2 linked regions of the Coturnix japonica genome follow. The protein of the gene in region 1 purifies or fractionates together with the protein of each later gene. This does not show direct contact. Links are inferred from orthologs where the notes say so. Each region holds a gene or a part of one and is shown on either strand. Other genes may lie near its edges.

Region 1 (3,988 bases):
GTGCTCAAGAACCCTCTCCCCAGGCCTCTCTCCACTCAGCACAGGAGAGTCCAGTGCATGCAAAGTGTACCACACATGTTGTGAGGCACAGCAAAGAACTCACGTGTTTGAAGCAGCTGACTGGAGCTGCCTTGAAGCCATGTTCCTGCAGGTACTTTCCCCAGTCAAAGCCCAGGACTAGTGCTAGGAGCAGACAAGAGAAGAAAGTAAGGCAAAGAGGTTTATCTAAAAGGCACACAGTACTCAGTTACCTCCGGGCTACAACAAGGGCAAAGCACTCTGTCCCAGAGAGCATGGACTCTGTATTTGAGTGCCTTTTCCCTGAAGAGGAACTAGATCCCACAAATGGTGTCAACTTGCTCTTGAGAAATGGAGCTGGGGGGGTATCTCTGGGGCCACAGCATCTCAGAGAAATCAGAGTGAAGCATGGGGCTATTAGTCTTACAGTTACCCCTTCTAAAGATATACCTCCTCATGACTAGCCTACACTCACCGTCCTGGCCTGTCAGAGTCCCATCTGCGAGCTGCCCCGTGCCCTGTGAATGGAGGAAGGCCCCGATCTTGGCAGACCAGGCTGCCTTGTGCAGGACTTTAGCTTTCTTTGTTGGTGGCTTCCCCTACAAAAGAAGGAATATTAGTGGAATAGGAAGGGAGAGAAGCTTGCAACTGGACAGGAGGAGGCACACATCTCTCCAGGGATGATTTACAGATTACTATTAGTGCTCTCAGGAACCAGAAGATACAACAAATAAAATATAACTATGCCCTTCCCCAGCTTCTAGAAAACAGCACTGCACAGTTGGTATGCTTTTCTCTGGGGGCTTCAAGCAGAAATAAACCACTGGTAATAGCAGTCTGAGACCTCACAAGACAGCAAAAATCCATCCCTCTACATGGGCTTTCTACTCCACCCCTGGGGAAGGAGGGATTTTGACTCACCTGCAGTCTGGCCAGAATGCTGGCCTTCTTGGAGTTGGATGAATAGCTTCTAGAGCATGATACACTGCAGAAACGTTTGGTCTTGGAGAAAAAAGCCTCCCTGGTTCCCACAATCCCACACATCTCGCACACAGCTGAGTGGAAAAGCACAAAGATACAAGCAGTCAGCAGGACCAGTGCTTTATAAGTGACAGATCTAAGCCCAGGAAATCCCCACTACACATAGCAGCTCCTCCATGTATTACAGAACATGCATTATCAGTTCAGTTCTGCTCCCAGAGCATGCTTTGGTTTCCTCCAGCTCTCATTCTTACCATCATACACAGGAGAACGGGCACTACCTGGCTCAGAGCCGCTGTCTTCTGTGATCCGGCTTGTGGGTGGCTGGTGCACAGGGGAGAGTGGAAGACCTCTGACTTCCCGATCTGCCACCTCATCATCACTAGACTCTTCCAGGCAGGAGCTGCTGTCACTGCCCATGCTGCTGTTGTAGCTCCGGAAGCTGTCATAGCCTCCAAACATGTCCAAGTCATCATCCTCCTCTTCTTCCTCCTCCTCCTCCTCACCTTCCACCTCCGCCTTCTCCAAAGATGAAGTTTTGTTGCAAATGGAAGACGCTGCCTGACAAAACAACCAGTCTGCTTTAAAACAAACACCTTATGCCAAATGTTTACTAGCTTGTCTTCACTGCTGAGAGGACGTCTAGACCCAAGAGAAGCCTTGGACTGTGCAAGAAATCCACGCAACAATCCCAGATTCAGAAATCTAAAGAATCACAGAAGCATAGAATGGCCTGGGTTGAAAAGGACCTCAAAGATCATCCAGTTTCAACCCCCCTGCTATATGCAGGGCCGCCAGTCACCAGACCAGGCTGCCCAGAGCCACATCCAGCCTGGCCTTGAATGCCTCCAGGGATGGGGCATCCACAGCCTCCTTGGGCAACCTGTTCCAGTGTGTCACCTCCCTCTGTGTGAAAACCTACCTCCTCATCTCTAACCCTGTTTCAGTTTAAAACCATTCCTCTTTGTCCTATCACTGTCCAGACTCAAACAGTTGTTCTCCCTCTTATTTATGTGCTCCTTTCAAATACTGGAAGGCTGCAATGAGGTCTCCCTGGAGCCTTCTCTTCTCCAAGCTAAACAAGCCCAGTTCCCTCAACCTTTCCTCACAGGAGAGGTGCCCAACCCTCGGATCATCTTAGTGGCTCTCCTCAAGCCGTCAAAGCCACAGCGAGCTTTCCACAGCGTACCGAGCTACAGGCTCCGGCCACCAAAGCTCACAAAACTAATACAGACTAAACATCAGCTGGACCAGCTTTCTCCAGAGTTGAATTTATAACGAATTGTGATGACGGACCAGCAGCAAATCCACCTCCTTCGCAGCCCTTTCTGCGGACGCTCCTTCCTTCAGCTCGCAGGAAGCGAATAACTCGGGATCGCTGCTCCGGAACCAAAAGAGCCCGAAAGCTGCGATGCATCCCCCCCCGGCGGCGCCCCCTCCGTCACTCCCTCCCCCAACACCCCACTGACGCCACATCGGGCTCCACACAGGGAGGCGAACCGCCCCCCCGCAGCCGTTAAACGGCCGCCACAGCCCGGGCCGCGCGTCTCCCGTGGAGCACAGGGCGGCCCAGCCCCCCCCAGCCCACGCTGCGGGGCTTTGCAGAGCACTGCGCGGCTGTGGCAGCAGGAGGCCTCTCGCAGTGCGGTACCGCCCCGGCCCCGCCGCCGCTCACCTCCCCTTGCTGCTGTTGCTGCTGTTGCTGCTGTTGCTCCTGCTCCATGGCTCCCAGGACGCTTGCCCGCCTCACGCGCGTGGAGCACTACCTCCCCCGCAGCCGCGCACCCGATTGGCCACAGACGGAAGAAAATGAGCCAATCGGAGAAGAGCTTGTTCCCGCCTCACTCCCCGCGGGGCACGACGGGAGGCGTAGTTCTATTTCCGCTAGAAGGGGGCGGGGCGTGGCCCAGAGCATGATGGCGGCCTTACAGGGACCTTACGGCGTCCCGGGCTCCATCAGAGAGGGGTGGCCAGCAGGGACAGGGAGGTGGTTGTCCCTCTCTGCTCTGCTCTTGCGAGGCCCCATCTAAGTACTGCATCATGGTATGGAGCCCCCAGTACAAGAAAGACAGGGAGCTGCTGGAGGGGGTCCAGAGGAGGGCACAAAGATGGTCAGAAGGCTGGAGCACCTCCCTTATGAAGACAGGCTGACATCTTGCCATCAAATACACCTTTCTATTCACAGCTTATGCTCCTGTGTTAGACCAATCATCGTACTTGTATCTGAATATCAAGCTTTTTATTCCAAATTTCATACAGCCACGAACATCTGTCCACTTTGCAATAGACCATGGCTTTTGTTTGGCACTTGACTGAGATTCCCGTGCAGACAGGCTCCTCACTCCATCATCTTCCATCCATCTTTTCCTGAAGGCAGCTTGCTCGTGTCATTACCTGGGCTTGGTGGACACAGGGACAATCCCAACGCCTGTGCTGTGCTCTGGCCACAGCCAGATCTTCAGGTGCACAAAACACAGGTACAAGTTACTCCCCACACACCCATGGGGTAAAGCTGTGCTCTGGGAAGCCCTCCCTGCCTACTCTGCACATATGGCTCGCAGGCAGTGAACGACACACCAGGTTCAACAGCACGTGCATGCAGTTACAGCTGGCACACACAACTGGCTTTGCTACACACACGCTCCCTAGTTGAAGCATTTCTGTACAGGACATCCCCCAAATAGGGGAATGTGCTTGAATTAAGAGGCAGCCGCCTGCACGCACTGCTGTCAGGTGAGATCAAGAGCACTTCAGCCTTTCCATGCTAAGTGACCTCAAGCAGCCCATAAGTGGGTGCAACAGCATTAATGGGGCACCCATCAGCTACTGCAGCACAGCATCTACAGAATATCCACACCAGGTTCTCTCTCAGGCTCACACTTTGGTGCCAAAAGCTGAACAATGTATTCCAAGTGAAATAGGATCTTTTAATATCACATATCCAAACAATAGTTCTCATTTCAAAATGCAAAATAGGTCTTCTGAACAT
Region 2 (3,520 bases), on another chromosome or scaffold:
AGGGTTAGATTAAGCCTCAGCCAGGCAAGATTTAGTAGGTCTGACAGCAGAAGCAAGAAAACTCCAATGCTAAGCCCTCATTGCAAGCTGACATGAAGGATATTCTATCAATAAAGACAGAACGCTCTTTCCTACCTGTGTGCCCTTGTAATTTCTGTACAATCTCTTTTGTCTGAAGGTTCCAAATGTAAACCAGGTTGTCTTCTGAACCGGATACAATCCACTGGAGGGAGAGAGGAAAGTCATTTTAATCTCTCTTCATCTATATCCAGCTGCAACTACTCACCAAACACTTCACTATCGCTACATTAGAAGGAAGGTCCAACACAGCTAAAGGAGTGAAAGATGCTGAGGTGGTTCTATACGAGAGTTCAACCTCTGTTGATGCTTTCCACCACCCTACCCTCAGATAGCAGACTGATGTTTGGCATCACATCAGCCCTACACGTCCCATGGAGAACAGCAGAAAGAACAGCACGTCAGTAAAAAGCAGCCCAAATAAACACTAACCTTTCCACCAGTAACAGAGAAATTGGCAAATATGCAGTACTTCTCATTTTTGTGTCCTGTGTACGTCTTCAGGCACTGAAAGAGAAGAACCACAAGGCACAGGCACAGTTGAGAGGTGGCTTTTCTCACAGCCACGGACAAACTCTCTTGTCACAGCACATCAAATATATCCGCCCAGGCTTCCCACCCTGCAAGCTTATCTAGAGGATGCAGAAGGCATCTCTGCCCTACAACACTATAGAACTTTCAGCTAAGAAGGAAAAGAAGAAAGGCCTCAATTTGTCACTTCCCCCAGAGAGAAAACCAGCAAGAGAAATTTCATGCTGACTGACAGAAACACAGAAGCACAGCTGCTTTCAGTGTTATGGGGCTATGCAGGAGCACAAGCCTTTGTACCCCCCTCATCCAAAGGTATCTTTGAAAGAACCCCATTAAAGGGTTACTAATGCTTTTTTTGCTGAAAACTCACTAAATGTAAAGCAAGGTTAATAAACACATATAAAGCCCAGATTCTCCAAGATATTAAGTCTACAAAGCAAGACAAGATTGTTTTTACCTTTCCTTTGCTGTAGTCCCAAAGCTTAAGAGTGCTAGAAAAGAACAGAAAACCAAAGATTGAGTTCTTGTGTTTTATCAGCAGTTTCCTAGTAGCAGACAGTTTCTCCATACCCGAGTTCTTAAAGTCTACAAGGGGCACTTTAGCCCAGCTTTGGAATGCAGCTTTAGTTAAACCCCAAAGTATCAGTTGTTACCAACATGCCATTCGTAATTTCCCCCTTTATGGAGGCTGCATTCTTTCACAGGAAGAGAAACCCATCTGGAAATAGGGACAGCCCTACAATTATACCCATCCAATACAATCATTACCCCCAGCTCTTAACTTTTATGTCTTGCACTGGGATCCATCAGGCAAGTAAACAAAGGATTGAAACCCTCTGAAGACAGCTCAAACATAAGCTAGATCATAGAAAGAGAATAAGCAAGCTACTGAATTTTATTTGGATATAATATGGCAGTATGTATGCACCTGTGTAGGGTCATTATCATGACAGGCAACGAGCAGCAAACTAAAGTTTCATCTGATATTTATTAACACTTCAAAGATGGTGGGTTTCTATTTATTTTATAATACCTACTTGTCCAAAGTTGCAGCAAGAATGTATTTGCCATTCGGGGAGAACTTCACAAAAGACACGGGAGGGTTATCATCATCTGAAATGAAGATAAAGTGATTGTTAAATAGTTCCTATTAAAGTGATTGTTGAACAGTATTATTGTCTCATTGCCCAAGAATTTCTTTTGACAGTAATCTGTTGTTTAAAGCTTTCAGTTTTGTTATCCTTTGGTTATTCAAGCAATACAGGTGTGAGAAGGTGACTGTTTCCAGTATTTCAATAAAAGGATATTAAACATTTTGCTCACAGGCATTTTAAATGACCTTTTCATTCCTTCCATCTAAAACATATCTGTAATAAAGTGTTTTTTTAAACACAGAGTATACATCTATCACCAATCTGCAGTGCCATGTCAGCTTTATAAAGCACTTATAAAAAACTTCATAAGAATATGAAAGACTGGGAACATATGCCTTATAGGTGGTTTCCTTATATTAGCTTTGCTCACAAGATGCCTTATGTCATCAGCAATAAAAGCAGGCAGCTTGTTCAGTCACAGACTGTTTCCATCATATCCAGCAGCACAAACACTTTTGTTGTTACAGTTCTGAGCCGCTGCACAGCAATCATTACAGAACTGAATGATAGAAAACTTTGGAAGTCTTTCATCCAGCATCTAGACTTACAGAACACTCCAAGGTTAAGCAAGATCCCATATATGCAAGAGGATAGCTCCTATTAACTGTCATAGCTACAAAGACAACAGTGTGCTAATGGAACAGCATTGAAACAGAAAAATAGAGGTTAAGGAAGTCAATGCTCACTGTGATGATGCAGTATGTCTGTATCACAGCTGGACAACAAAGAATGAAGCACAAACAAGAAGCATTCCTACTTACCAATGAGTGTTTTCAAGCACTGTCCTGATGCTGTATCCCAGATTCGACTATAAAAAACATATGGGACTCATTACTACCACTATAAGCTTTATTATTAGTATCATTAATCTTTCGTCAAAGTGCAATAGATTTGAACACTGAAGCAGACAAGAAACAACCACTTACCAGAGTCCATCATAACTACTTGACACTATCAGGGATCCATCACGATTAAAATGCACCTGTAATATTATAAAAGAGGGGGAAAATAACTTTACTTTGTTCACAAGCATCAAATTTTTACGCCCCACCAAGAGTATTCACCTCCCGATGCTGACATTGCAGTTCATATGGATAAAAGCAGAAAGTCAATGATATTCAAACAGTAGATGTGAATTTAGATGGGCAATAGGATCAGAACAAAATTCTTCCCCCCTGCACTGAGTTCACCTGGCATAAATGGAAATGGCTGGTAGCTACAGCTGTACATTCAAGCATCAGGAACTGACATGTCTGTTTCCTCAGAAGCTAAGAGCAGTACCTTAACACGAACACACAGATACTCCGCTCAGACACCATTAGCTGCTCAGTTTATAGTAGTGTCTAACCTGGGGATAACACCTTAAGATTTTAAGGACATGGAACTTCACCCCATATATAGCCTCACATATTCTGAGGTCTACTTATTGCCTTCAAATACACCTGAAAATGCTGCAATTTAAAGCAATAATTACTACTAATGTGCATTATAAGTATGAAACGTCTCCTAGGTAAAATAGAACAACCAGACCAATCACATTAAAGCAGGTATCGTTTAACACAACTGAGGCTGAATATTCTTTCAGTGTTTCCTCCATTTCAAAAATATTAAGAGTTGAACACCTTCTAATCCTTCATTTGAAGGGATATGATTGCAATCCAAGCCATTTTCACAAGATGAATTAACAAGACTGGAGTGTGCTCTGAAACCATCCAGCTCCAGACCTCAGCAATTGCTTGGAACAAGAAAGCAACAGA

The links. Proteins that work in one complex are often made in the same cells at the same time.
Region 2: the proteins of L3MBTL2 (region 1) and WDR5 purify together in Homo sapiens (affinity purification with mass spectrometry; 4 studies listed by BioGRID and IntAct, counting the BioPlex papers as one, with this or other methods). This does not show direct contact. The link is inferred for Coturnix japonica from reciprocal best matches to the Homo sapiens genes L3MBTL2 and WDR5.

Annotation. Positions count from the first base shown.
Region 1 is NC_029516.1:45,392,526-45,396,513, forward strand, and holds the start of L3MBTL2 (lethal(3)malignant brain tumor-like protein 2), read right to left. Parts: upstream 2,806-3,988; 5' UTR 2,723-2,805; coding exon 2,675-2,722; intron 1,561-2,674; coding exon 1,254-1,560; intron 1,074-1,253; coding exon 940-1,073; intron 618-939; coding exon 494-617; intron 184-493; coding exon 104-183; intron 1-103. UniProt on the Homo sapiens protein: Putative Polycomb group (PcG) protein. PcG proteins maintain the transcriptionally repressive state of genes, probably via a modification of chromatin, rendering it heritably changed in its expressibility.
Region 2 is NC_029532.1:5,725,700-5,729,219, reverse strand, and holds part of WDR5 (WD repeat-containing protein 5), read right to left. Parts: intron 2,746-3,520; coding exon 2,690-2,745; intron 2,572-2,689; coding exon 2,525-2,571; intron 1,723-2,524; coding exon 1,647-1,722; intron 1,101-1,646; coding exon 1,067-1,100; intron 586-1,066; coding exon 511-585; intron 224-510; coding exon 136-223; intron 1-135.